4 linked regions of the Diceros bicornis minor genome follow. The protein of the gene in region 1 purifies or fractionates together with the protein of each later gene. This does not show direct contact. Links are inferred from orthologs where the notes say so. Each region holds a gene or a part of one and is shown in the gene's direction. Other genes may lie near its edges. The genes, in order: HNRNPH1, HNRNPM, HNRNPUL1 and DDX5.

Region 1 (7,239 bases):
ATGCTGTGGTGGCGTCCCACATAAAGTGGAGGAAGATCGCTACAGATGTTAACTCAGGGCCCGTCTTCCTTGGCAAAAAGAGGAGGATTGGCATGGATGTTAGCTCAGGGCTGATCTTCCTCACAAAAAAAAAAAAAAAAATCCCCATTCCACTGTTTACCAGCTGTGCAGCAGGAGCAAATTTCTCTAATCTCTCTTTAAGCTACAGTTTGCCTATTTGTAAAATGGGGATAATAATAGTACATATCTCCCATTGGGTTATTTAGATGAGATACTGTATGTAACACACTAGGACAGAGTGAACATTTCCTGTCTATTTATGTACATATGTATATATTTACGTGTGTATATATTTCACACACTGTGTGCATGCACACACATACATTCTTTGTGTTTCAAATGTGTTGCAAATTGTCAATTTATTTGTCTTTCAATTCTCTCGCTTTATTCAATACAGAATTTTAAAAATTATTTTTCTGTAGCCAATGTACCAGTCTTTCCCTTTGTGGTTATGTCTTTGATTTCACACTTAGAAATGCCTTCCTCATCTCAAAAATTTATAAACACATACATTTTATTTTAGTACCTTTAGCTTTACATACTTCAAGTTTAAATCTTTTTTTTAATTTTATTTATTTATTTTTTCCCCCAAAGCCCCAGTAGATAGTTGTACATCATAGCTGCACATCTTTCTAGTTGCTGTATGTGGGACCCGGCCTCAGCGTGGCCGGAGAAGCGGTGCGTCGGTGCGCGTCCGGGATTGAACCTGGGCCGCCAGCATCGGAGCGCACGCACTTAACCGCTAAGCCATGGCGCCGGCCCATAAATCTTTCTAATCTATTTAGAGTTTATTTTGATGTATAGTGTGAATACTATTTTTTCCCAAATTTCTAGTCATTGGATTTAACACCATTTTTAGAAAATTCTTTTCATTCTGATGTGACATATCACCTCATTGAATGCTGAATTCCCAAATACACCTTGGACCTGTTTCTAGATTTTGTCCCACTGAGCTGTTTCTTTCTGTGCTGGGGCTACAGTGCTTTAATATAACATTGACAGAGTTTTACATGGTTGATATACCACTTTTTAATTTTGTATTCTGCTTTTTTCCCCACAAACCATTATATCACAAACATTTCTTCACACCATTTAAAAAAAATCTATAAAACATAATTTTAATGGCTGTAATCTGTCATCAAAAAAATTAAAGAAAAAAGTAGACTATAACAGTTTCCATCAAGTCTAAGGTATCATCAATCTTAAGACACACCATTATTTGTGTACCACTAAGAAAAAAATGCTGCCAATTAAACTATGATATGCCATTGGTTTTTAAGACATATTGCTATTTTAGAGAGGTTAAACTGTGAGAAAATGTGTGTTTTAGAATTGATAAAAAAGATAATGAATAAATATGTGCTTTATCTCTGTATAGGGAAGGGTTTTCTGAGCTTAAAGACAGACTCAGAGGAAAGCACCCATGGCTTCATCAAAATTAAAAACTTCTGGGGCCAGGCCTGCTGGCCTAGTGGTTAAGTTCAGCATGCTCCACTTCATTGGCCCAGGTTAGGCTCCTCAGCTCGGACCTACACCATTCATCTATCAGTGGCCATGCTGTGGCGGCAGCTCACATACAAAACAGAGGAAGACTGGCAACTGGGCAAATCTTCCTCAGCAAAACAACAAAAAACTTCTGTATGTCTAAACATAAAAACCAATAACAACAACAACAATTAAAAGGCAAGCAAACAAAAACATTTGGGGCAACTATGGCCAAGGGTTAATAGCTTTAATAAAAACCAAAGATCACTGGAGAAAGAAGTCAAACTGACAGTTTATATAAGAGGGAATTGGCTATAAGTGTATAAAATTTACTTTACCTTGCTAGTAATAAACAGATGCAAATTAGAGATACGAGTCTTCTCAGTATTAAATTAGCAGAGATTAAAGGAAAGGAAATTTTCAGTGTCAGCAAAACAAGGGGATATGGAACACTCACACACCACAGAGAGGGTTGTCAAGTGCCATAACCTTTTTTTATTAGTAGTCCTAAAAATACTCAGACCTCCCATTGAATAATTTTACTTCTAGAAATCTATCCTAAGGATATGATCTAATCTTTCTATGATGATTATACATGACATTTACTCTTATTAAGGAAGAAAATCCGAGAAAACTTTAGAAAAAAATTAGGAAAAATAAACACTTTAGAAATGTGGCCTTGTTGTTACAAAAGGTAAAAATATGATTTTTTATGCACTACCAAGGGGATCAGGGTTTTTCCCTCATATAATCAGAAACTAGTGTTCTTAGGTCATTTAATAAGACCAGAACTCTCAAATGCTGTCACCTATTAAGAAGACACACCAGGAGGTGTCTTGGTGATGTCCTGGAAAGAGAGTATCCAAGAGCAAAAAGTGTTCTCCTTGCTTTTTCTTTCCCTTTTTTTTTTTTTGTGAGGAAGATCAGTCCTGAGCTACCATCTGATGCCAATCCTCCTCTTTTTGCTGAGGAAGATTGGCCCTAGGCTAACACCCGTGCCCATCTTCTTCTACTTTATATGGGATGCCACCACAGCACGGCTTGACAAGCGGTGCGTCATGTGCGCGAGGGATCCGAACCTGCGAACCCCAGGCCGCGGCAGCGGAGCGCGCACACTTAACCGCTGTGCCATGGGGCAGGCCCCTCTCCTTGGTTTTGAATCACCCAGAGACAGACCTCCTGTTTGGAAGACTTGGGAGTCCACATTTTGGTGACATCAGTCAAAAGGCCTTCCATTTCCTCCAGCTCCGTTTGCAGTTGAGGGCAGGCAGCGTCCTTCACCCTGCCTGTTCCATCTGTGTCCCCCTCACTCCCAGCAACTGCGTTTTCCTTTACAAACAGCTCCTCTCGCTCTCTGCTGAAGACCTGCCAATGCCTTCCCGTGCACCGGGAGTTAACACCCTTGCCAAGGCCTAAATGGCATTTCAAGGTCATTTCAAGATCAGGCCTTGCCTAGCTCTGGGATCCTATCTTGGATCACCCTCCCCCTTTATTTCACTGATGTCGTCTCTGTTTTCTCACACCTGTCAAAACCGGATTTGGCCTCCAGACCATTGTGCTTGGGAGGGAACATGCTTTGTCCGCATCTTCCCGTGGTGGCACTCAGAGAGGCCTTCACTAACGTCCAACACTGCCTTATCTTTAATGTGTTTACTGCCTGTGTCCACCGGGCCTGAGGTGGGAAGGACTGGCAGGATCAGAGAAGGGGAGACCTGAGGGGCTGCGGGCATTGTTCCAATTTCCCGCACCTGGAAATCGAGACCATCGCTCGTCTCGTGCAATATGCGCACACGCGGCGACCCTGGGTCACCTCCCAGCGTCTCCACCCGGGAAATGGATGTAACGGTACCTACTTAGTCTTGGGGGAACGAAGCCGGAAAGAGCCGGCGCGCGCCGACGGCTCGCTCGCGCTCCCCCCGCGCGCGGCAGTCGACATCCGGTCCCCGCTCTCTAGGAGCGCCCCGCGGCGTCAGGGCCCACGACCCTGGGGCGGGCGGCGGGGTCGTGGGGGGCGAGTTCCTTAGGGCGAAGGCGGGGTGCGGGACTGAGTCAGAGCACGGGGACCCCGCGCGGGCCGGGCCCAGGCCCGACGGCGGCAGGTAACGGGAAGGTGGAGGCACAGGCCTGCGCGGCCCCGCAGCCCCAAGAGAGGCCCGGTGGTCATCGCCGGGCTCTAGGGAGAAAGGGGGTACAGGTGGCGCGAGGGCGGGGAGCCTGTCCTTTCAGGTCGGCCAAGAGCGCTGATAATAGGCTGCGGGTAGGGGTAGGAAGACGGCCCCCTCGCCACGACCCAGAGCCCGGGACTATCACACTGTCCCCATAGGGAACTGACTGCCGCCATTCCCCTCCCCCACTGTGGCGGGTAGGGCGAGAACCGCTTGAAGGAAGACGCATGCGCATGAAACTAAATGACTGTCTAAACCGCCAAGGCTCGAAGTTCAATAATCGCGACAAGGCGCAGGCGCAAAAAAGCCCGGCGGGTGTAAGGAGGTGGGAGGGGCTGAGCTCAAGACGCATGCGCACAATAACTTGCTGGCTGGAGGTGAGCTTGCTCATGAAATTACGCATGCGCTCTATGTCTGTGTGACGCAAGCGGGCGGTGCGGGCCTCTGGCTGCGCGTGCGCAGAACTTGTTCGAAGGGCCTTATTTAGGTTGCGCAGGCGCTCGCTGGCCATTTCTTCTCAGCCACGCTGAAGTCGTTTGTCTGGGTGAGTGTGTGTCGCTCCGTGTTCGCCCCCCCCCCCCCCGGGGGCCCTCGAGGATGCCGTTTTCGCGAGGAGTGCGTGTCCCTAGACTTCTGTAGAGCCTGGGGGGCCGTGGCGAGGTGCAGGCTGCCCCTGGGAGCCGGGAGCGGCTCGCCGAGCCGCGCAGGGCGGCCGAGGCCTGCAGGCCCCGCCGCCTCTATTGTGTGAGGCGTCGGAGGAGGCGGAGCGGAAGCGGCCGCCGCCATTTCCTCATCTCCACTCTGGCGCCCGGCCGGGGACTCCTCGGTTCGGGGCGCCGGCGCTTGGTGCCCACAGCGGCCTCGGGGGCCCGGTCGCCGGCCGCGGGGTGTTGGGGGGCAGAGTCGCCGGGGTTGGGGCGTGCGCACGGGCTCGGCTCTTCTTGAGGCGCCGGGGCAGCGGGCGCCACTGGGGCGGAGGGCAGTTGGTTTGAGCGCTTCCCGGGCTGACCTCGTCCCGCCCCGCAGTCTGTCGACGCCAGCACCCGCCGGAGACGATGATGTTGGGCACCGAGGGCGGAGAGGGCTTCGTGGTGAAGGTGCGGGGCTTGCCCTGGTCTTGCTCGGCCGACGAAGTGCAGCGGTTCTTCTCTGGTGAGTTTGGAGCGGAGGCGGGAGTTGGCGGCCGGGGCAGCGGGCGGCCGGCGTCCTGGCGGGGCGGACGGGGCGCCCCCTGGCGGGGCGGGCGACCGCTGATCCCGCCGGCCGCCGTTACGCAATGGAAATTGTGAAAGCCCCCCCGCCCTCGGGAGAGCGTGGCCTCTCCGGCGGGCTGTTTTGTTTCCCTACTCTCGAGCACTAGTCCTCCTGTAAATGTGTTTTCCAAAGGATAGATGGGATTTCCTCCTCAATCTTGAGAGAATTGCCCAGTAGCTGCGCGCGTAATAGTGATGTTTTGCAAAGTCTTAAAAGATAGAACGTATACTTTCTAGTTTTCAAAGTATGTTGTCGAAAAGGGGCATTCTGCTTCGGAAAGTTAAAATGTCACTTCTTAATTTCAGACAATTTTCCTAATCAAGATTTAGTAATTGAAGAGTTCTTGCTCATCTAGTTCTTGATCTGGCTCACTTTACATTTGAGGACACGGAAGCCCAGGGAAGTTTGCCTATCTAGTTTTTTCTAGTATCCTGAATAATTTTTACCAAAACGTCCTTGTTCTCATTAGTGTAAGATTAGACTGATAAAGATATTTGGAAGATGGAAGAAATTTCCGGGTTTTGGAAGGACACTTGTAGTATTGACTTACTGTCTGAATTTAGCGTGGGTTACGGAAAACGACCTGTAAAACGAGAACCAAGTACACTGGAAGCCGCCTTGCAGTGGGCAGGACTGGGTCTGGCTTCAGCTGTGCAACTTGGAGCATTTTAGCTTGGTAACATTGATCCCTTTTCAGGTGAGTATTGGCAGTGCGATTTGGATTAGAAAGAAACTATCATGTTGCTAGTAAGGTAAAACGGTCAAATGCCGCAGACGAAAAGTTGCAACTAAGTATATTCAGGAAATGCCACAAAATAACCAAGTCCAGACAATTTGCTGACCAGTTAAAAATGTTGAATGGGAGACACTTGGGTAGTGAGGACTTAGAGATAACTTCATTAGAAACTGCTTTAAATATTGGATTTTTTTGATGGATTGGGAATATATCATCTAGGAAATAAAAGTTTGATGGAGAGAGGATAACTGCTTAATTACTGGACAGAGACATCCTAGAAGTTGGTAATAATTTGGTCATTTTAGGCTTCACAGATGATCTACTTTGTAGTAGGGGCATGAGGAGGCAGTTCATCTGTATCACCCAGAGGTGGTTTTAAGTTTTAAATTCTGTATTAACGGTTGTTTTCTTTCCAGACTGCAAAATTCAAAATGGGGCTCAAGGTATTCGTTTCATCTACACCAGAGAAGGCAGACCGAGTGGCGAGGCTTTTGTTGAACTTGAATCAGAAGATGAAGTCAAATTGGCCCTGAAAAAAGACAGAGAAACTATGGGACACAGATATGTTGAAGGTTTGATTTACGTTGCCCTAGTAACAGTAAATAAAACATTAAACACAGAGAGATCTATCTTACCCCTTCTGAATTTTAGGTATTTGACCGCATGGAAATGGTCATCTAAGGGAGTTTATGGCAGCTCTTCCTAGATTATCTAAAGACCCAGGAAATCTGAACTTTGTTCTCTAACTTTCCAAAATTGACTAATTCTAAGCACCTCTTTCAGTATTCAAGTCAAACAACGTTGAAATGGATTGGGTGTTGAAGCATACTGGTCCAAATAGTCCTGACACGGCCAATGATGGCTTTGTACGGCTTAGAGGACTCCCCTTTGGATGTAGCAAGGAAGAAATTGTTCAGTTCTTCTCAGGTATGTAGTCGTGTTTGTTGCTGAGCAGCGAATTCTGGCTAGCTTCTGGCAACGTGTGATTTAATAGACCTTAAAGTTTAGCAGCTCAGATATTAAAACAGGTTGTGAGTATATGCAGGTGAATTAATGTTTTTTCTTCCTGGAGACCTTCAAATAATTTAAGCCCATCTTAAAGGTGGAAATTAAGTACTTCCAAAATGCTAACTTTGCCTGTATTTAGTATTATAGTGCAGAGTAGATCTTTGAGGATTGTCCTCAACAGCTTAACTCCTTTCCTCACAATGCTGTTCAGCAAAGTACTTCAAGTTAAAGGTAAGATCCCTTCACATTAGATTAGCATGAGTTAGATTGTGATTTCTCCCAAGTGTCTATGTCGTAAGACACATTGGGTCATGGGACTAGAATTGTCTCTGATGCAAAAAAAACTATTTATGGAAGCAACTAGTTTAGTTAGCCAGGGAATTATAAACTTAACTAAAAGTCAGTCTAATGTAAGAGTAGGTGGAATGTAGTCTCAGTATCTGAAATACAGAAAGTGTTTTGAAATTGTTCTGGGCCTAAAGTATTTGAATGTTTTTATGCTGAAGAACTGATAAAATTGCATGTTTAGCA
Region 2 (7,532 bases), on another chromosome or scaffold:
TAATGAACCTACATGGACACGTCATCATCACCCAGAGTCCACAGTTGACATGAGGGGTCATTCTTGGTGCTGTACATTCTATGGGTTTGGACAAGTGTGTAATGACATGTGTCCACCATTATAGTATCATACAGAGCGGTTTCACTGTACTAAAAATCTTTGGCTCTCTGCCTATTTATCCCTCCCTCCCCCAGCCCCTGGCAGCCACCAATTTTTTTACTGTCTCCATAGTTCTGCCTTTTCCAGAATGTCACAGGGTTGGAATCATCCATTACGTAGCCTTTTCAGAGCAGCTTCTTTCACTTAGTGATATGCATTTAAGCTTCCTCCATGCCTTTTCATGGCTTGAGAGCTCATTTCTCCTTAGCACTGACTAATATTCCACTGTCTGGGTGTCCCTCAGTTTATTTATCCATTCGCCGACTGAAGGACATCTTGGTGGCTTCCACGTATTGGCAATGATGTGACCCATTGACAATGAGCCCCTTCTGAGGGGCTGCGTTGCTTCACTCCCGCCCTCTGAGAGACAGAAAGGGGGTCCCTTGCTCCCTGCTGTAGACCCCCTCACCTTTGCAGGGCCCCGAGTGCTGGTGGGAGCTGCCCCAGGACAGTGATGGGTGCGTGTGCACAGTCTGTATGAGAAGGGCCTGGACGTTGGCTCTGCTTCTGGAAGCATCCAGGGGCCCAGTTTTCCTCTCTTGGGGGTGGAGGTCGGCCGGCTGGCCTTCGCACCCACCCCTGTGCTGCTGCCCCGCAGGTCTCCTTCCGCTACCATTGCCAACTGTACTCCGAGTGGAGAAGGACCAACCAGAAAGTGCGCCTGAAGATCCAGGATGTGGATGGCCCCGAGGGCCCCCAGCCCTCCCTGCTGGCAGCCGGACTCCTGAAGAAGGTGGCAGAGGAGACGCCTGTGTGAAGGCCAGGCTGGCAGGGCCAGCGGCAGCTGGCGATGCCCTGGCGTTTGGAGGGACGGAAACTGCCCGACTCTTCCTGCACGGCCAGAACGCTTTTTAGGCCAAGAGACACCGAGCAGAGCCGATTCTGTGATCCCGTGTGAAGATACTTTCAGACTGTTTTGCACACGGTTGTACCCGAGGAGGTGGACGTGGTCCTGAGCTTCGGACGGATCAGGCACCCTGATCTCATTCTGAGGTCCACTCGGCCCCTCCGGGGCCAGCAGCTGTGGCCATGGGCGAGCCGAGGGTGTCCATCGGGCCGGAAGGTTCCACAAGCTTCTTGCGCTTCTCCACACCTGGCAGGCTCGCTTTCCCGGCACCCTTGACTTCATCAAGTTGCACCGTGTTTCAAAAACCCACCCCGAATGAATAAAAGGAGCCCTTGCTGGACAAAACGGACTTGTCAGTTACGTTTCTGAACCAAGGCCTCAAGTGAGGGACCTGGGACCCCAGGGCAGCCGGGGACCACAAACAGGTGAAAAAAACAACAACAGAGGCCCTCTGCTGGTTTTGAGGGATCTGTTATGAAACACACCGGAAGAAGCAAAGTCTGAGTTTTCAAGTGAAAAGCAGGTAGCAGGGTTATATAATAAATGGTTTAAAATCGCTATGCATAAGGAGAACAGTTTCCACTTACTTTGCATCTCCAGATGCCACGCTGGTGTACTTACTAATCACTAACGTCCACACTTCTCGAGGGTTCCTCAGTTCTGAGCCTGCACAGGCATCCTCTCTCTGCCTTTTAGACCATCCTTGAGGGGAGGAATGGCTGCTGCCTCCATTTTACGGATGAGAAGACTGGGGCCCAGAGCAAGGAAGCCTCTGTCTAAGGTTGCACAGCTCTAGGAAGGAGAGTTGGGGTTGACCTTGGGTCTTCGTGGGCCTAGTGCTGAGCTCTAAGCTTGCCTTCCAGGAGGACTCAGGAAAAGCAGCAGAATATGGTTGTGCTAATAACCACATGTACTTCTTGAGCACTTTCTGAGCTTTTCACGTGGAAGGGTTCTCTGCATTGGGCCGCATTTCATACTCAGAGCAGCCCTGAAAGGTGGGTTCTGGACTTCTCTTATTAATCCCATTTGCACATAAGCAAACTGAGGCTCAGAGCAGTGGGGTCGCTCACCCAAGATCACACCTCCCTGACGGACCTAGCACAGTGTCTGGAATGTTCTATTGTTTTCAGCATGAAGCCCTGTCTGGTATGTGGTTCACCCACGGAGTAAAAAAACCCTTTCCACCCCAGCGTAGAAGGGCCAGAGGCAGCCAGCCTGGCCACGGGAATGGAGGGAACAGTAAAGGGCACAGGCCTGGAGGCTGGAACTTGTGTGGCCTGTAGGAGGAGCAGTGTGGCAGACGTGATTGCTGGAGCAGCGAGACTGAGGGGCAGGAGAGAGGCAGTTAGAAAGACGAGCAGGGCTTTGTAGGCATCTGGGGTCTGCAGAAACCCAGGACCTTATCCAAGCGCAATCGCTCTGCTGGCGCTCAGGGGCCCTTCTGGCATCTGCATCTTCTCTCTCTACACAGGCCCAGCACCCACCTCTCTCAGGCCAATTTTGGATTGTGGTGCCCCTGGAGGTGATGCAAAGAGGCCCCAGGACATGCCATTGTGAAAAGAGCTGTTTCCTTTGCAAATCTCTTCTAATACTTTCAATTACATCAAGGAGAAAGTTGTAGGTTGGGCTAGACTGTCTTAAATGACCCTTAACCTAAGGGAGGAGAGAACAAGCCTCAGGCTCAGAGCCTTTGGCAGCATGCACAACTGAATTCACACTTGAATAGCATCATCTTCTTATTTATTTTTTACAGTTAGCTGTTTATAGCAAGTTTTCATATACTCAATTTACATATATTTGCATATATTTACATGCAATGTAAAACACAATATTAAAACATGCGTCTTTAAAGGATAAGAAGGTGTGTCAGTTAAAGGAAAATGTGAAGTGTGAAGGAAATAACAGTTCAAGAGATAGCAGAACCCAGGATCTGGGCACTGTTGGTTTAAGTCAACCAGCCTGTAGGAGCCTAGCCTGGAAGAGTTGGTCTCCACAACCAGGGCCTGATTGTCCCTGACCTCCTGTCACACCCACCGAGGGAGGAGGGATCAGAGAGAGAGGTGGCTTCTTGTCCCTAACGCTTTGCATTGGGACTCCTCCCTGATTCTGACAGACTGCCGTGGCCTCTTCCGCCACTTCTGAGCCCTGCTGGGCGAGGGAATTCAGAAGTTCATGAGGCTCCTTCTGCCTCAGGGCCCCTCCAGTCTAGGAGAGGTCTAACGGGGAGGAAGGTAAACTGAGACAGATTCCATTGGGGCCATGGGAGAAGATTTTAATAGGTATGCAAGGGCGATTTTAACAGAGATTTCAGGAGGGGGCATGGGAGGAGGGAGGGGCTTGACGATGGGCGAGAGAAGGGAATTCTGGGAGGCAGGTGAGTTTGGGAAGAGCTGGAAATGTGGGAACGGAGCTGGAAAGAGGGTGGGGCACAGCCTTCATGTCAGGCTGGACTACGGGATGGATTTATTCTCTGGGCCTGGAGTTCTCAACCCTGGGTCAGAATCACCAGGCAGAATGAAGCAGCTGGGAGAGTGTGGTGAATATTCCCCCAGAGCCTGATGAAATGTAGTCATTCTTTGAGGGGTGGGGGGGGGGTACCTCTTTCCCTTTGTAAGCCTAGAGCGAGTTTGGTGGTTAGATGGGAACTTCTGCAAGATTCGGTGAAGCATTTCAAAGTTCCAGAGACATCAGAGAGAGGGGCTGCTGCTGGGGAAGGGAGCCTGAGGCCTCAGAACGCGCCCCTGGGCTCTGGCCTCTTTCCAGGCCACGTGGCTGCCCCAGGACACAGCCTGTAACAGTCCTTAAAACCAGTCTGGGGACAGAGCCAAGCCCTTAGGCAAAGGGACCCAGCCAGGATCAGGCAGGAAGGAGGCCCAGTTAAGTTTTAATGGGATCAGTTGGCCTGTAGCTCGTTTCTTCCATCGTGTTTGGATCTTGCTGCTTCATTCACTCAAGAAACATCCGTGAGCGCATACCAAGACCCCAGCGATGCGTTTTGCTTGTTGGTTGATGGGTTCAGAGGCCATGGGATCTGCACCCAGGAGGTCCCGGGGTGGTGGGGAGCCAGGTCGGACAGAGCCCAGATATTCCTGGTGCAGGATACTTGCTTAGAGAGACAGAATTTTGCACACCAGTTCCACTGCCTGGCCCGTCCGCGTCCTGCCCTCCTGCCTGGCTAACTCCTTTATATTCTTAGTAAACAGAACTTTCTGCCCCTCTGCCGCAGCTCTGATTACCGAAAACTGGGAGTGACGAGGTCCGGGTGTGGGGTCAGTAGATCCTTCCCGTGCCAAACCTCAAGAACCGGTGGAGTATTCAGAAGGCGCCCAACACGAGTTTGTTGCGGGGATGAATGGATAACAGCGGCCGGTCTGCGCCTGCGCGCGACGGGGGCGTGGCCCGGGGCGGGCGGGGACCAGGCGGGAGCAGGCCGCGGCGCGCGCAGGCGTTACTGGTCGCGCCGGGTCACGTGAGTGCGCAGGCGCAGTGCTGCGCAGCCGGCTCCCTCACACAAAGCCCAGACGCGGAGAAAATGGCGGCAGGGGTCGAAGCGGCGGCCGAGGTGGCGGCGACAGAGCCCAAAATGGAGGAGGAGAGCGGCGCGCCCGGCGTGCCGAGCGGCAACGGGGCTCCGGGCCCGAAGGGGTGAGTATCCCACGGCTCCGCGTCCCGGGCCGGCCGCCTTCGCGGCGGCGCCGTTAGGTCTGTTGGAGGCCTCCCCCCGGCGCGGCCTCAGCCCGGGCCTTTCCCGCGGGGCCTGCCCGGGGTGGGGGCGGCCGGGGCCGCCGAGGGGCCCGGGGGCGCCGCAAGGCTCGCTCCCTCCGTCCTCCTCGGCCCTGGCCCAGCTCCGCGGGTCCCTCCAGGCCGGGTCCGAGCCCCACGCCGAGGCCTCGGGCCCGGCCTCTGCGCTCGGGGCTGATGGCACGGGCCCCGGAGCCGGAGAGGCCCGACGCCCCGGGCCGCTGGCCTGTCGGGTGACCTTGGGCGCGTGGTTTCACCCCCCGCCCCCCGTATCGCCCGGGGCCTCAGTTTCCCGCCCCGTAAACTGGGGGGAAGGGAAGGGAAGCGAGGGCGCGCGCGGGGCCTCGCGCGTGCTCGGCCCGGTAAACGGCGGCGGAGGCGGGTGGGAGCCGGGCAGGACCGCGAGGCCGGCCGGAGCGCCCCCGCGTCCCCTCCCCTCCCCCGCCCCGCCCGGCCCGGCCGGAACCGCTCCACGCCGGGGCCGCGCGCGAGGCCCCCGCCGGCTCCCCAGGTGCGCGGGAGGTGTCTGTGCAGGGATCGGACCTGCGCTCCCCCAAACAAAGAGGAGGAGAAAAAAAGCAGAGAAACAGCATTTTCCGTGTTCCCGGGGGAGATTTTCCATCCTCAGGCGGGCTCGCCCACTTCCAGGCTCCGTCACCATTTCGAGCCTTGCTTGGGCCTCCGTCTCTGCTCCTTGGCTGTTCAAGTGTCCTCAAAGCTTTAGAGCATCGTCTTGTGTCCGCACTCGTTCTGATGACAGTCACCTGGAAGGAAGATGCGGAGGGACGTTTGGGCTCCCACCGGCACCCGTGGGGGGAGGAGAGGGGGAGGCTGGGCACACGTGATTTCCCACTAATTTTTTTTTTTTAATTGTGGTAACGTATGTGGAACATAACATTTACAGTTTTAAAACCATTTTTAAGGGTACGGTTCAGCGGCATTAAGTGCGTTCAGTGTTGTGCGACCATCACCCCTGTCCATGTCCAGAACTTTTTCATCATCTCAGACTGCAGCCATTAAACAGTAACTTCCGATTTCCCCCTGTCACCAGCTCCTGGATACTTCTGTTATTCGTTATGTCTCTTATGAATATGCTTTCCCACAAATTTCTAATGTGCATCCCTAGAGTTTGTGGGGATTAGAAGTGAATGTAGTTAAAGCGCTTTATGTTACCGAGCTTTCGCTAGGTGACTAGCTGTGTTGTTGTCAAACCTTCTCTCCTTAGGTGGGGAGGAACAAAATACCATGATTCCTGGTCCTCGGAAATCAAAAGAATGGCATCCCAGAAGTATTCCCAGCACTTGACTCTCGAAAACTCTGGAAAAGGATGCCTTCGTTTAGACTTTTTTCATCATCTGTCTAGGGGAGCCTAGGAGGATTTCTGAGGGCCGTTTTTGGATGCCTTTAAGTTACATTTATTTCCTGTATTTTTTCTTTCAAAGCAGTTATCACAGGATGGAGTGCTGCTAAAACGTGCTAGGTGAGAAGTTGAATTAGCTATAGTTTGTAGCATCTGGGGTATGTTTTTCAAATTTCCCATTTTCCACTGTCCATTTTCAAATAGTCATTTTGTGACGGGTTTATTTGACAAATGTGACACGTGGACCGTTAGAAAGAACCTGAAGGTTTTAGAGATAAAATAGCTCTTGTTGGAAAGAACCTTAGAGTCTAGGGCTGCTTAACAGAAGTTCTTTCAGGAAGCTAGCAACACTTAGATGTATTTCATAGGGTCGGTGGAAACTTTGTGTATTTTTTTTTTTTTTGCATTAGGAAGCTCTTGAGAATCAAGCCCATGCCCAGAGGAGAGGCCAGCTGATAATTTTGTAGTGAGGTAATTATGCTGTGATAGAAGTAAAGGAGTTACCTGGTAGGGAGCAGCTCCCCTCCCCACAACTGAACCCCCTGGGGGCAGGGTGGGGAAGAGGGGGTTTCTTCAGGAGGAGGGGGATGAAAGAGGATGATTGTGGAGAGGGGAGAAGAGAGCTGCCCACGACTAGGGACTTTGGTATATGCTTTGCATATTTATAGAGAACTGATGCTGCTGTAGCACTTAACGCTGGAACAGTGAGGGCCAACGCTGAAACAGTGGGGGCCGGGGGCCGGCTGGTGGGCAGTGGATTCCAGGCTGAGGAATTTAGATTTTTATCTTGAAAGCCTCTGAGGGATGGAAAGTGAGTGAAACTTGGTTCTTCTGACCTTTGTCTCCACCAGGAGTGGAGTGTGCTGTAAGCTGAAAAGGCAGTGAGCCTGCAGGCTTGATGGAGGACCCCAGAGAGGAAGCTTGTTTTGCAGTGACTTTTCTCCGGGGTGTGAGAGGAGGATTTGTTTTATTTTGATGAGAAATCTGTTCCATTTAAAGTCAGTCAAGATTCAGAGTTAGAGTATATTTAGTCAGGGAGAAAAAGCATTCATTCTGGGGAATATATAGTTTCAGGTTTGATTTTTTTTTTTTTTTAAAGGTTGAACCATATACTTAAAATCAGTGATGTAACCTACTTCCAAACTAATCTTGTGGCTGAATCAGAAAACAGAGATGGATTAGTTAGTTTAAAAATAAAAATTTATATTTAGTGTAGGTTGCCGGGGAGGTAATGTTAGTGTTAACTCTGTTTTATAACTGAGAAATTTTTTTTTTAAACAATTGAGAAAAGTCAGGTTAAGGAAATTGACCCAGAGTCTGGGGGAGGCTGTGTTGACTCCACTGCCACCCTGGTAACCTCTCACTAAACAGTCACTTGAAGTGTTTTATTTAAATCAGAATCTCTGTGCTTTGCAATGATTTGAG
Region 3 (6,903 bases), on another chromosome or scaffold:
CCCTCAACTGCAGCTCTCTCTTCCTACCTATTCCACTTCCATCCCAGATAGATCCTCCCCCTTTTCCATGCCTTTGTGTCCCCATGTGTAAAAGGAAGGGGTTGGACTGCAACCCCTAAGGGTCCTCCTAGGTCTAACATTCCAAGATTCTAGATTCTAAGGTTTAAAGAGTCTAGACTCAAAGGTTCTAGGTTTCAAAGATGCTATAAGTCTTTGGTTCTAAGGACCTGAAATTCCAAAGTCTCTAATTCTAAAGTGCTAAGGTTCTAGACATAGAAGTCCTAAGGCCTATATTCTAAGGCTCTGAGATTCTATGGCTCTAGATTTTTCTGGTTCAAAGATTCTTGATAAAGCCCACAAGATTTTAGGTTCTAAAGCTCTAAGATTCTAATTCTAGGATCTAAGACTCTAAGATTCTAGATTTTATTTTTCTAGGGTTCTGAATCCTTAGGGTGTAAGATTCTAGATTCTACAATTCTAAAAATTCTACAATTCTAGACATGGAGGTTCTAAGGCCTAATGTTCTAAAATTTGATATTCTAAGCCTCTTAGAGTGTAAATCTTCTGGCTGTAAGACTAGATCATAAGCCTTCAAGATTTTATCTTCTCAAGTTCTAAGATTCTAATGATGGCCAACTATAGGTCTAAGGCATTATGATCCTTGAAACTCTTGTTAGGAGATTCTGGATCCTAAAGGTCTAAGATTCTAGAATCTGCAATTCAAAAGTTCTAAGAGTCTAAAGATGGAGTTTCTAAGGTCTCATGTTCTAAGATGTGATGTTCTAAGACTTAGCCTAAGAACCTAGATTCTCTGTGTCTGAGATTCTAGATCATATGCTTCAAGATTCTAGATTATTAAACTCTAAGATTCTAATGTTGGTCTGTTCTATGTTCCAAGACACTTTAGACTCTATTGGTCCAAGATTCTGGATCTTCAGCATCTGAGGTATAAGTCTCTGCAGTTAATTGTGACTAACTAGATACCAAAGTTCTTACCATTTCTTTCTTTCTTTTTTTTTTTGAGGAAGATCAGCCCTGAGCTAACATCCATGCTAATCCTCCTCTTTTTGCTGAGGAAGACCAGCTCTGAGCTAACATCTATTGCCAATCCTCCTCCTTTTTTCTCCCCAAAGCCCCAGTAGGTAGTTGTATGTCATAGTTGCACATCCTTCTAGTTGCTGTGTGTGGGACGTGGCCTCAGCATGGCCGGAGAAGCAGTGCGTCCGTGCGTGCCCGGGATCCAAACCCGGGCCACCAGTAGCGGAGCGTGCGCACTTAACCGCTAAGCCACGGGGCCAGCCCTCTTATCATTTCTAATGCTGGACATCTTTAGGTTCTATGCTGCATTCTGCCTTTCTAGGATTTTAGTTATGGGTCTAAGATCCACAGTTCTAAATCTTAAGATTCTAGACACTGTAGTGTTAAGATTCAAATGTTGTAAGATTCTACAGGTCTACAGGCATAGAATTCCAAGGGACGATTCCAAGGTTCTAGCCTTATATTCTTCTGTGTGACCTTCCCCTTCTTAGCCACCTCTGCTTCCTCCTCCCTTCATGTGGGGGTGTGCCCCCTCAAGCCTGTGCAATGCATTAGGAATGTCTCCTTTCCCCAGGGGACAATCTTCCTCCTCTTGGGCCATGCTGCCCCCCTGAGCCAGTCTCTCATGCCCCTGTACTGAGTGTGGACGCTGGCGCCTCCAGAGGGGCCCAGATCACATAAAACTTTGTAACCACACTTCCGTCTCCTCTCGTCTCCACTCAGCTGTCATGTGGCCTCCCTCCCTGGCAACTCAGTTTCCCCTTCAGTAAAAAGAAGAGTTTGGTGGGGTCTAGGAGTTCTCCCCTCACTAAAGAGGGTAGAGATGAACATACACATAGACAAAAAGACACGCAAGCAAAGAAATGCAGACTCTCTGAAACCCCTGGCAAGGAATAGGCACAGAGATACTCACGAGGTCACACAGAGACACTCCTCCCCACAAAGTAACAGATACATGAATTAGTGGACATACTCAGGCACACCTGGTCACAAATACAAAGACACTGAAATTCAGACACATGAGTAACAGAGACACACAAAATTACACAGATACAAACATATTTATAAACATATGCACAGGCAGATACTCCCCAGGAATAGGGAGAAACTAGAGTAACACAGATACAGACACACAAAGAGTAAAGTGACACAAATACTCAGAGACATATAAAGTACAACAGGTACTCACAGACCCAAACGTTCAGATTCACATAGAAACACAGGCACAGAACACCTCCGATAATCACCAGCCCATAAAGGGACTCCTGCCAAGACAAGTCCCCTGTGTTTTGCACGCATCGCGGGCACACGTTCCTGGGTGTGTCCAGAGCAGATGGAGGAACCCTTGGCAGCGCCCGGACGCCCCCCGGTGGCGGCTCCTGAGAACCGAGAACAGTTCAATCCGGGCCACAAACTTTTTTAGAACAAATCATTCTGGGAAGCTGGGGGTAGAGAGGAAGTCGGACGTGGGCGTGGGGCGGGGTGTCTGGACTGAAACCTCTGGGCCCACGTGAGTGTCTGTCCCGCTTCTGAGTGGGTGCTGGGTGTATAGGTTGCCGTAGTGTAAGCTTGTGTAACTGTCCTGTGTGTCTTTATCTTTAGATGCCGCCTGCGTGTGCGGACCTTAGTGGGCACATCTACACTGCAGTTTGGTGTATTACCCCTTGAATTGATGCATCTGATCTGACTCACGGCCATTTGTTTATCTGTGTTGTGTGTGCCTTTGTCTAAATAGAGGTCGTGTGTGGCTTTTGTGGGCTGAAGGTATGGCTCAATGCGCAGCGGGCGTTTGCATTGTGTGTCTCGATTGTGCATCTTACAGAAGTTTTGAGTCTTTTCAGTTAGAGGCGACAGGTGGTGCAGCGTTAGACATTGTGAAACGCTGTGTGGCGTTTGTATTTAGCAGCGTGAGGCGTAACTACGGACCTGTGTGTTTGAGCTTGTCAGTAGAGACGCCAAACAGCCACGTCCACTGAACAGGCGTCTAGAGGATTTGGGGTAGAGACCCGCGAACCTCTGGAGGTCTTTCCGGGGGGGACGGCTCTATGGTCGCGTGCAGAGCGCCCATTCCACGTAAGATCCCAACCATAGAGAGAGAGGGCAGCGAAGCTCAGATCGGGGAAAGAGGCGCCCTGTGAGATGTACTATCAAAGGGGAGAGGGTGCCATTTCCTTTACAACTTTTCTCCCGTTGTTAGACTAGCCTCTATTTTCAAACCTGCAGGACTCTCTGAAGTCAAAGGGTTGCTTTTCATTAAGACAACTGAGTTTTTTCCAGGCTAAGAATAATTAATCCACTTAATCTCTATTTCGTATACCTCCTTCTACAGCGAGATTTGTGAGGCCGTCCGCTGAAAAATGGCCAATCTGGTTAGCTTTTCCTAAAGCGATCCAACCGTACTAGCTTTAGTGAGATAAAACAATAACTGCGATTGGTGGGCAGATTGTTTTGAAACCGCCCTAACGGCAAAGGGTAGGTCCTTCGTGAATTCATCTCTTTCCGGTTTTTAAAGGCAATAGTGAAGGGGGGGGAGGGTCTGCCGACCCTCCATTTGATTGGTTCTAGTGGTTTTACCCGCTTGGACGCCTCTAGGGGCGGGAGATCTAGACCAATCAGGATATGTGTTACAGAGACACTAGTTTGATGAAAGGACCGCGCAGGAAAGGCCGTGAGGGCGCTCATTCTGAGATCTCGTCGCTGATTGGCCCAAGTCTTTACTCCCTTTCCCTCATTTGACCCTACGAGAGAGAGCGCGCCGGCGCTACCCAATCACCGCGCGCTCCGCCTCCCTCCTTTTCCCGCCCTCCGCTCCGGCCGCGGCATCAACGTAGGCCAACGCTTCCTCCCCGGCAGCTCTTGAGCCCTTTCTTTGCCGTTCTTTTGAAAGCCGCGCTCTAATTGGCTGAATCTCCAGGCCCGCGCCCGCTGCCCTCACGAGGTGACCAATTGGCACCCGTGTTGCATCGCACGGGGCAACAGAGGAGGGGGAGGCGGCGGCGGCGGCCATTTTGAGCCGCCGCCGCCATTGGAGTGGGGGGCCCCCCCCTTCCCCCTTCGCCTACTGACAGGAAAGGTTTAAGGGGGACAGAGCCCTGGAAGGCCGGGCCGGGCTCGGGGGCCGCCCCGGGGGCCCGGGCCATGGATGTGCGCCGTCTGAAGGTGAACGAACTTCGCGAGGAGCTGCAGCGCCGCGGCCTGGACACTCGCGGCCTCAAGGCCGAGCTTGCTGAGCGGCTGCAGGCGGCGCTGGAGGCCGAGGAGCCCGACGACGAGCGGGAGCTCGAGGCCGACGACGAACCGGGGCGACCCGGGCACAACAACGAGGAGGTCGAGACCGAGGGGGGCTCCGAGCTGGAGGGGACCGCGCAGCCACCGCCGCCCGGGCTGCAGCCGCACCCGGAGCCTGGCGGCTACTCGGGGCCGGACGGACATTGTGAGAGTGCGCGGGGCGGGGGCCGGGGAGCCCAGAGTCCGGGCCGAGAAAGGGCTGTGGGACGCGGGAGTCCGGCGCCCGAGGTCGGGGAGACGGTCTGAGGATTGGGGGATCCCGCCACCCGCCGCTGAAAAGGATCTGGGGACCAGGGCCTCGGGACGACCGGAGGGTGGATCCTGGCATTTGGTGCAAAGGAGATAGTGGAGTGGGGGCTCCTGGTTTCGGAGAGGAGGACGGTCTGGGGGGTGTAGAGCCTGGGGCTCGGGGACCGGAAGCCGTCGTTTCTGGGGCCAGAGAGAGTCGGAAGAACAAGAAATTTTCTATTCAGGGGCTGAGAAGGATCTTGGAAATGGGGATCCTAGGGGTTTGGGGGCTGTGCTAGCCTGGCGAGTGGGTTGGGCGTTAGGAGCCTCGTTTTAGTGCTCGGGAAGGAATGACCAGGTGTCCAGAACTAGGAGAGTTTTGAGGATGGAGGATCCTGGAGTTTGCTGCTGGATGAGGTACTGGGAATTCTCAAATTTGGTACTGGAATAGGTTGATGAAATGGGGGTGCTAGTGTCTGGCCGGGGAGGGTCTGATGGACTGGGTGCTCTGTTTGGCTGATAAGTGTGTAGGGGATGTGGGACACCACCGTATGATTGGACTATGGGAGACCCACATCTGTCTGAGGATGGCCTGTAGGAGTGTGAGATCCAGGGCTGGCAGGCCAACCTTGAGGCAGGGGCAGCTTGGGCATTTGGTGCTGGGAAATCTTGGGACCTTCTGGTTGACTTCCAGAGGAAGCGTAGGGAATCTTGGTGTCCGGAGGCTGGCAGGGGAGGGAAGGATGCTTCACTGGACAAGGGACCTAGAGGACTACAGCTGGGAAGGCTCTCAGGACAGATAACTCAGGGGCTACTGCTGAATGATCTTGGATTAACAGTACAGGTTGTTTGGAGAACAGAGGTAGCTAGGAGTGGAGCGGGACAGATGGTTGGTGGAGTTTGAAGTCGATGGAGTATCTGGGGGACGGAGGATCCTTGTGTCTAGCACAGGAGTGTGTAGCTGGTCTAGCAAATATGGGGGAGGGGGGGAGGGGAGAATGTAGAATGTGTAAGGAGAAAGAACCTGTTGATTTGTCTGGGGGCCTCTGGGTGGAGTCCGGGGAGTGTTTCTGGGGCTGGGTGTCTCCATGAGAGGGCTCCTTGGTTCCCAGAGGCAGTTATTTGTGTGCCCAGGGATGGGGAGACCTCAGAGGGTAGCAGGGAGTCTCTGCATCAGCCAGAAGGTAGGACTTGAAATGAGAGGGAGTAGGATAGATCTGTGATAGTCTGAAGAGAGGAGACCGTGGTATGGGTGGGAGTAAATCTGGAGTTAGAAAAGGGTGGCTTCCTAGCAGGACTAGGGAATGGGGACTGGGGAGAGTAAGGAGTAAGTAGAAAGGATACTGGCGTCCAGGATTTCTGGTATTTCTCTGAAAAGAGGGCACCCTGGGCCATGGGGCTAAGGGAATGAGAACAAGGGGGTCAGGGAAGAGACATGATTTGGAGTGGGCGTTGAGTACTTACTTGTTCGAGAGAGATGAGATCTCCGGGAGGGGAGCAACCTGAGTGTAGATTTAGGGTGGAGAGCAGCCTAGGGCTTGTCCAGGACCCAGGTGCTGGAAAGAGTACTTCCTATGCAGAGACCTGTGAAGGAAAGAGGAGTGGCCCAGCGTGCATGTCTAAGGCAGGAGACACCCTGGCAAGAATGCCTAGGAAAAAGGGCCAATGGCTGGAGGTGTCTAGGAAAGCGAGTTAGGTGCTCCAGAGCACAGGCTCTAGACTCAGACAAATTTTTGTTTCAAATATGACTCCATGACTTGGACAAGTCACTTCAGAACTCGGTGAGCCCTGGTTTCCTTGTGTGTAAAATACGGAGACTAATGCCCCCAGGATTGTTGTGAATGAGATCGCATGTGTAAGGGGCTTAGCACTGGGTCTGCCTGTTATTAGGAGATGGATGTTTTAGAGAGTGGAGAAGGACCCCAGAATCATAGCTTCTCTGGACGAAGCTGCCTCAGTGGGCACAGGAGAGATTCTCAAGAAGAGAGATATGAGGCTCTATGGGAAGAAGAGCACTGTGCTTGGAGCCTGGAGGAAACAGAATGGTTTGAAAGGGCCCCCCGTGTTCCAATTAAGGAGATATTCTATTTCTTCATCTCTCTCCTACCCTCTACAGCAAAGTCCTTTGAGCCCCGTTCATGCCCCCCTCCAACCCTTCTTTCAGCTCTGGTAAACAGACCTGTAGCAAACCACGTGATCTGTTACTTTCCTCCCTTTGGGCTGCACCTGGTTTGTGCCCAGATGTATTTGTCCTGTGAGAAAGGATCCAGTCAGTTAGCAAGTGGCAGAATAGTCTCTCCTTCCCTGTGGTTCTCCCTCACTGGTCCTGGCACAGCCACTAGTAGGGCC
Region 4 (7,619 bases), on another chromosome or scaffold:
AGTATAGTTTCAAGTCCCCAAGATTCCCTCTGTTCATTAGCTTGAAATAATTTACTGGAATAATCCTCATTTTCTATCTATAAATATAGGGACTTATAAATATACTTGGGACGTTTGGCTTTAGAATACAAGCATGGTACACTTTGTTTTGGAAAAAGATTCAAAACAATTTACAGTTTTATTTTGAATAGGTAATATATTCACACAGTTCAAAATTGAAAAGGGGCAAAAGGTATACAACAAAAAGTCTCATCCAACCCTTGTTCTGCAAACCTGAAGTTCCCCTTATTGGAGGCATTCAGTATTACAGGTTTCTTGCATATGCTTCTAACGAGTTCTTCTGTATGCAATCAACTGCATATATATTCTCCCTACCTTTGTTTTTAGGAATAGTAGCATACTCTGCACATTATCATTGTAAGTGCACCACATTTTTCTCACACAATATATAGTGGAGATTGTTCCACTAACGTGAAACATTGTACCTAAGGAGCATCATCAATCATCTTTCACAGCTGCAGAGTAGTTCCCTGTAATGAGCTATCATAATTTATTTAACCTGTCCCTAATAATGGACATTTAGGTATTTCTAATTTTTAGCTACTACAAACAAGCAGGATGGTAGCTTTAAAATAATAGAAGAACAACAAAACATACCTCAAATTACCAGCTAGGATACTTACATCTCAGACCCAGAGCCATCACAAACTCAATGTCTGACTCTTCTGGAAAAGCTCTCAAGGATGGCTGACTTAACTACACCAGTCAACTGTCTTGGCTCAGTCTTGCTGGTTAGTCTATTTCATAAGATTACTCATTTGTTAATTAAACAATGTCTGGGATTCTACCTAACAAATTATTTTAAGTAAAATGCAAAATTATCTGATAGCTAAGTATATACCAACCTGTTATATGAGACAAGCTGACCTGCAGGTAATCCAAGGCCAATGAATCAATTACTGCTTGTACATTGTGAGCGTCATCCTCTTGACTCCTAGGAATAGCTATGAGGTCTGTGGGAAAAAAGCCACATAATTTTGCATCTATGAGGGGCCAAGTTTTCACCTATCTGTCTCTGACCAGGCTTGTGAGTAAGCTCCACTGCTACAAAACTAAGCTCTGCCCAAACAGAACAGGCTATAAAGTACAAATAAAGTTAACAGAGCCTGAATTCCACACAGCAGAATCTTTACTGGTTGAATAATTATTGACTGAATATTTATTCAACCAAAATATATATGAACGTGCTCTACAATGAGCACCATGCTAAAGGAAGATAGAGAGGTCCCTAAATTCAAGGCGATGCTAATATTCTAATAAGGGGGCAATACATGTGGTGACACTTTAACCCATAACCATGGGCTGCTTTCCATGAGAGAAAAAAACCCACAACAGGTGTGAAAGTAGAATTCTTGCATGTCGTGTTAAAGCAGCCTATTGGGAATTATTGGTACAAAGGATTAAAAGGTCAGTATGGACCAAAGTGCAGAAAGATTTTAATATCAACTTAAATTTGGAGTTTCTCCTCTGGTATTGAGGAAGATGAATGTTTTGGGGTAGGATGAAAAAAGTATTTTAAAGGACTAGTCTAATAACTACATGCCTCTGAACTCTAAAGACGGTTGAGACTAGCATGAAAGATACCAGGTAGAGACCATCCCATTATTCCAAGAGGTGATGAGGGCACTGACTCACGGTAACAGGGGGAAAGGAAGAGAGACTATACAGAGCTTATAATACTTAATGGTTATCAACTATGAAAGAAACAGAGGCAAGAGAGGAATTTATGGATAAGGACTCTGAGGTATTTAACCAGGGTAACAAACAACAATTCTTATCCATAATATTGCTTAAGCAACAGGACCCAACAAGTTTCAAAGTTCCACTCAATTTTAGAACCTTTGAAGGTAGATTGATGGAAAAGGTATGACTTTCACAAGGCATTAGGCATAATTAAACAGCGATGACCAAGGCTGTTATTACAGGTGGGTCTCCTAGGCAGTCATTAAGGTAATGAATGCAATATTTAGATAAAAATAAGAAGCAGACAAAGAGAAAACTCAAGATTTTATAAACACCATAGGATCTAACTAACAGCACTAGAAACTTGCGGCCTAAGATACAGACAATATTACTCTCACTTTTTAGTACCCTTACCTGGCACCTTTTCTCCCAAAATGGATTGATAAAGAGCAATAAAAACATTAGCATCACAATCTTCTAGTTCGTGTATCCTCAGATGTATGTGACATTTCAAAAGAAGGTTATTGGCAATGGTTACCCACTCTGTTGGGAAAGGGAAAAGACCAACCTTAAATAGCACTAGAAAGAGTCATATACATACATTAAAAAAAAACAAGCCCCACAAAAACAGACACTGAACTCTGTAGAAGATAAGGGATTTGATTGTTATAAAATTTCAAAGACCCTCCTAGGCATGATTTTTGAAAAGATGTATTTAATTTCTTGGGATGATTTCCAGAGTGCCAGAATTTCAATGTAGCCAAAACTACGATGTGAATCCAGCTTTCACTGTTGCAATTGAAAATTTTAAGTTACTTATTGTAGTTCCTATTTTACAAGCCATACATAGGTGTTTTTATGTAAAATATATTTACAAGTAAATGGGAATACTGTCATAAACAAGACAGTTAATGATAATCTGAGATTACTAGAAACTAATTAATGGATGTTGCTTCAAATTCCCAATAGCATTAGTCACGTTTTTACCCAATTATCTTGTGCAAGTCAGAATTTCTCTGGTGTCCAAAAAGGGGCTGTTAAGAACTGGAGTAGTGATGCCAACACTACTACACTTGTTGGTTTTTAAAATTATATTTAATGCATATGAACGAAAATATGGGAAATATATAAAATGTCCCTAAATTCAGAACTAGTACATTACCAATACTGTTGAACTTTCCTGCCTACCACCCCACCCCACCCCCAGATACTGTTGGGATTAGGCAAGTTATTTCAAGGGTTTTTCGACCAAAGGTAATTTAGAAAGCTTGAAACATTTGTTCCCTGAAATGACTGGCGATTAAGGGGAAAGTTCTTTTATTCCGTATTCGATATCTTCAGTATGTCCTAGAAATAAATGTGTGTATGTGTCTTCAAGGCACATTATCTCCCTCTCTCCGTGTCCATCCCTCAAAGCTGACCAAACCATGACAACTGGTTTGAAGGCTGTCCTGGAGAAAAGGATGAAAGCGTCCTAGACAACCAAATCAACTCGTTTTTCAAGTGGTGCTAGACAAAGCCGGTAACTCTAGAGGGCACTGAAGAGAAAAATCCACCACTATTCTACTTTGGCAGGGGCATCAACAGATCTTAAGAGTGCCATTCCTCAGAAATTCAATACAGACGGCAGGTACGACCTGAGTTCCCACAGCGAGGAGCAAAGAGCACACCGACAAGGGCTAGAGTCCCGAAAAAAACACTTGCTGACCGCCCTTTTGCACCAGGATACCGGCGTGCTACGGTCCTCGCCGCAGGGCCTCCTCTCCCCCGCCCCAAAATCGCGCTCGGTGGCCTCGAAGCGGACAGGGAATGGGGTTAGGAGACCCTATCCAGAGAGCCCACCGTCTACGACCGGGTGTGTCACCAGCCCCGGCGGCAGCCCAGTCCTAGTTGAAGCCGGCTCGAGGCCTCAAGATAAAATGGGCAGGGCCGTTCAGGGATTTGGACAGCTTCAGTCCACACATACCACGGCTCCAAGGCGAGACTCACCAGTCTCCGACCCGGCCATGTCGCGGAGGCAGGTCGGCACCAGACTCCTGGCCGGGCGCGCGGTGGACGGTGTCCTGGAAGGGCCGCAAGGGGCACACACAGTGCTGAGAAGAGGCGGAACGAAACGAAAGCGCAGCGAAGGAGGGGTGAAGGAGGGAGGGACGTTAAAACGGCCTCTCACTGCTGATTGGTCATCAGAGGAGCACTTCCTTTCGTAGCACGCGCCGGGGCGGCGGTTTGCGGAGTCGAGGTACCATTCTCCGCGACAAGATCCTGCTAAGGGATTCTCCGGTGGGTGGGTTTGACAGCCCAGGTCACCCAGCAGCCCTGGCCGGTCTCTCAGGGGCTTTAGCACGGCACTTCCGGTGAGCTATTTCGTTTTGTATTCTTCCGCTGATGCCAACTGGGGAAGTAGTGCGGTCCACTCACCGGATGGGGGGGCAGCCACGTGACAATGCCAGGCTCCGCCTTCACGCCTTCTCGTTTGGTTATGGCCGTGAAGGCTCTTTGGAGACGTAAACATTTCCAAGTGGGCTGACCATTTTATCCCTTGGGCCGGACCAGGAAAAGGGCAGGGTGGCTTCCTTAAGGTGTAGACAGACGAGAAAAGGGTGGAGTCAAGAGCGTGCAAGCTAGGGCCTCCCAGTGGTGGGTGGGCCCAGCCATAAAAGGGGCGAAAAACGGGCGACTCTGAGGGAGGGGCCTGGGGGGAGGGGCGAGAACACGGCGGATTCCGGAACGCCGGCGGGCGTTGCGGCCTCAGCGCAGGGGCGGGGTGATTAGGTCATAGAGCGGCTCCCAGCATTCTGTGCGGCGGAGGAGGCGGTCCAGGCTATAAAACCGGCTGCCGGGACGCGGCCGGCACCTCATTCATTTCCACCAGTCTCTTGTGGAGCACTTCTTGCTCCAGTCATCGCTGTCCCTCTGCTTCTGCCGCCCCCGCAAGGCTTCGCCGTCGTCGAAGCCAGCTCCAGCGACTCGTCGCACCCGTTTCTCTCCACTTCGTTCCCCGCCAACCGCAACCATTGACGCCATGTCGGGTTATTCGAGTGACCGAGACCGCGGCCGGGATCGAGGGTAAGTGTGAGAACTGACCTGTCAGGCCCGGCGGGTGGGGGATGGGAGGCCGATAAGGGTCGCGGCGGGCGGTGGAGAGGGTGGGAACTTGTCTTTTTCAGCCCACCCATGGGCCTCTTCAATGGAATGTTTGATATTTGTCCAAAAGTGACTAGAAGAGATTCGCCTGTTAACGGCCCTCGAGCTCGCCCTTTGTTTGCGGGGGCCATCAGGGCCTCGGCGATTTAGCCGCTGTTGGGAGAATGCGGAGGAGCGTATTTCTAGGGCAGGCGAGCGCGACGCTTCGAGGCGGACGGAGTCGCCGCTTCTAGGTGCAAGCTTTCCGGAGGTGTTTTAGGGGCCCCCAGGATTCAGCGGGAGCCAAGGGAGCCGCCTCTGAAGCCTCCGCGGGGGCAGGGGGGTGGCCGGCGCCGCGGGAATCGGCCATGTGGCTGAGCCGCGGGTACAAAATGCCGGCGTCGGACATGGCGGCGGCGCCTTTGTTACCCCGCCCGGCGGAGGAGCTCAAAATGGCAGCGTCGAGAAAATGTGGCGCAGAGAGAAATGCGAGACAAAGGGGGAAGCGCCGCCCCAGCGGGAACGCCGCCCGGCCGACTCCGCCTGGGTCGGGACTCCTCCCCTGGTAGTCGCCAGCTCCTCCTCCTCTTTTTTTCGCGTTATGTAATTTTGCTACCTTGCTCCGGGGCCTTTCCGCGGGATCCCCCAACTCCACTGGCTTCAGCGTCCTGGAGAACCCTCATTGTAATGCTCTGGCTGCCTGTACTGTCCCGTTATCCACTTAAAACCAAAGTTGCTGTGCTTGAAACAGCTGAGAAATAACGTAGCTGTTAAGCTTCTCCTTTCTTGTATTGTTTCTCTCCCAGATATTTAATTCATAAGCTTGTGGGAAAGACTGGTAGCCACAAGCTGTTGTCTGTACTTGTAGTCTGAACTTCTGGCGTTTGGGCAGTGTATTTCCGACCTGATAAATCCCGGGCTGTTGACTTAGCTTCAGTAGTGTGTACTTGGGACCACGGGAAATGAGATAGATAGGATGCTGATTGTGGGTTTGGGAGAATGACCATCATTAAGGCTAGAGCTAGATCTTAAACCTCCAAAAGTCTTTAATTGATCTTGAGTGTGTGCCAAGGGTTAGTAAGTCTGTCTATATGTAAAGCCCTGTGTAGGCGTTTGAAAATGTAACTCTTTTTTAATTTCAGGTTTGGGGCACCTCGATTTGGAGGAAGTAGGGCAGGGCCCCTATCTGGAAAGAAGTTTGGAAACCCTGGGGAGAAACTAGTTAAAAAGAAGTGGAACCTTGATGAGCTGCCCAAATTTGAGAAGAATTTTTATCAAGAACACCCTGATTTGGCTAGGCGCACAGCAGTGAGTAATTTCGTTGGCCCCACTAGGCTGTAACTCAGTAACAACTTATAGTAAATGGAAGTCGGACCAGAAAGGTCTAGCAAATGACCAAGTTTTGAGAAATTACTGCTTTTTGACTTGGTAGTTGGGGAAGAGGTGTTACTTTTTGGAAACAGTTGGCTTTGAGTTTTTCTACTTAGAATGGTTGAGTGTAACACGATATGGGGTTCTTGGGCTATATAGGGTTTTCATATGTGGATCCAGATTTAAAATGGCAACATTAATGTAGCTAATCAATTATAAATTTAGGGGCCTACTGATTGTGTTAGAGGCGGTTATCATGACACACACTAGATTATTGTAATTTGTGTTGTAGCAAGAGGTGGATACATATAGAAGAAGCAAGGAAATTACGGTTAGAGGTCACAATTGCCCAAAGCCAGTTCTGAATTTTTATGAAGCAAACTTTCCTGGTAAGTGCTACTTTTGTTTCTTCTCCTTTTTTTTTTTTAATTCCCCCCTTTCTCTTGGCCCTACTAATTTTTACTAAGTTGCTATTGCTAATTACAGCAAACGTTATGGATGTTATTGCAAGGCAGAACTTTACTGAACCCACTGCTATTCAAGCTCAGGGATGGCCAGTTGCTCTAAGTGGATTGGATATGGTTGGAGTGGCACAGACTGGATCTGGAAAAACATTGTCTGTAAGTTTGGGAGAACTTTTGAGTTACTCTGTGATGGGTCTAGAGAACATGGATTGGGCATACAAAGAAACCAGAAGTATATTAATGGTACCTTGTTGTCTGCTCTCCTCTGAATAGTATTTGCTGCCTGCCATAGTCCACATCAATCATCAGCCATTCCTAGAGAGAGGTGATGGGCCTATTGTAAGTATATATGTATTTTCTCTTAATTTTTGGCTAGAAGTGTAATTTAGAGATTTTATAGACTATATAGCAAAAGACATAATTTGTGGTGGTTTTGTGGGGAGACTCTAGTTATCCTACTCGAGTTGACTGGAGACAAAGCATTTTAGGGTATTGGACAGCAAAATAATATGCCACTGTAAACTGATAAATTAGCAGTTGAAAACTGGGATTCAGGTCTCTGGTAAAAGCTCTTCTGCTTTCTGTTCCTCTTTCCTTAGTGCTTGGTGCTGGCACCAACTCGGGAACTGGCCCAACAGGTACAGCAAGTAGCTGCTGAATACTGTAGAGCATGTCGCTTGAAGTCCACTTGCATCTATGGTGGTGCTCCCAAGGGACCACAGATACGTGATTTGGAGAGAGGCATGTAAACAAAAAAGGTTCTCTTCATTACTGATGTTGCTAAAAGTTTTGGATGTCTTGGTTACATTTATGTGTTTAATTGAAGGTGTGGAAATCTGTATTGCAACACCTGGAAGACTGATTGACTTTTTAGAGTGTGGGAAAACCAATCTGAGAAGAACCACCTACCTTGTCCTT

What was found.
Region 2: the proteins of HNRNPH1 (region 1) and HNRNPM purify together in Homo sapiens (affinity purification with mass spectrometry; 3 studies listed by BioGRID and IntAct, with this or other methods). This does not show direct contact. The link is inferred for Diceros bicornis minor from reciprocal best matches to the Homo sapiens genes HNRNPH1 and HNRNPM.
Region 3: the proteins of HNRNPH1 (region 1) and HNRNPUL1 fractionate together in Homo sapiens (co-fractionation; 3 studies listed by BioGRID and IntAct, with this or other methods). This does not show direct contact. The link is inferred for Diceros bicornis minor from reciprocal best matches to the Homo sapiens genes HNRNPH1 and HNRNPUL1.
Region 4: the proteins of HNRNPH1 (region 1) and DDX5 purify together in Homo sapiens (affinity purification with mass spectrometry; 4 studies listed by BioGRID and IntAct, with this or other methods). This does not show direct contact. The link is inferred for Diceros bicornis minor from reciprocal best matches to the Homo sapiens genes HNRNPH1 and DDX5.

The regions. Positions count from the first base shown.
Region 1 is NC_080740.1:92,600,656-92,607,894, reverse strand, and holds the start of HNRNPH1 (heterogeneous nuclear ribonucleoprotein H), read left to right. Parts: upstream 1-4,235; 5' UTR 4,236-4,254; intron 4,255-4,736; 5' UTR 4,737-4,765; coding exon 4,766-4,862; intron 4,863-6,116; coding exon 6,117-6,272; intron 6,273-6,483; coding exon 6,484-6,627; intron 6,628-7,239. UniProt on the Homo sapiens protein: This protein is a component of the heterogeneous nuclear ribonucleoprotein (hnRNP) complexes which provide the substrate for the processing events that pre-mRNAs undergo before becoming functional, translatable mRNAs in the cytoplasm.
Region 2 is NW_026691615.1:283,839-291,370, reverse strand, and holds the start of HNRNPM (heterogeneous nuclear ribonucleoprotein M), read left to right. Parts: upstream 1-4,517; 5' UTR 4,518-4,538; coding exon 4,539-4,651; intron 4,652-7,532. Other genes in the region: E3 ubiquitin-protein ligase MARCHF2, read left to right, coding at 758-916. UniProt on the Homo sapiens protein: Pre-mRNA binding protein in vivo, binds avidly to poly(G) and poly(U) RNA homopolymers in vitro. Involved in splicing.
Region 3 is NC_080773.1:15,284,378-15,291,280, forward strand, and holds the start of HNRNPUL1 (heterogeneous nuclear ribonucleoprotein U-like protein 1), read left to right. Parts: upstream 1-3,892; 5' UTR 3,893-4,176; coding exon 4,177-4,471; intron 4,472-6,271; exon of another isoform or gene 6,272-6,335; intron 6,336-6,356; exon of another isoform or gene 6,357-6,903.
Region 4 is NC_080757.1:47,202,497-47,210,115, reverse strand, and holds the start of DDX5 (probable ATP-dependent RNA helicase DDX5), read left to right. Parts: upstream 1-4,603; 5' UTR 4,604-4,765; coding exon 4,766-4,809; intron 4,810-6,008; coding exon 6,009-6,174; intron 6,175-6,529; coding exon 6,530-6,626; intron 6,627-6,723; coding exon 6,724-6,857; intron 6,858-6,974; coding exon 6,975-7,040; intron 7,041-7,300; coding exon 7,301-7,442; intron 7,443-7,527; coding exon 7,528-7,619. Other genes in the region: CEP95 (centrosomal protein of 95 kDa), read right to left, coding at 906-1,013, 2,158-2,286, 3,733-3,751. UniProt on the Homo sapiens protein: Involved in the alternative regulation of pre-mRNA splicing; its RNA helicase activity is necessary for increasing tau exon 10 inclusion and occurs in a RBM4-dependent manner. Binds to the tau pre-mRNA in the stem-loop region downstream of exon 10.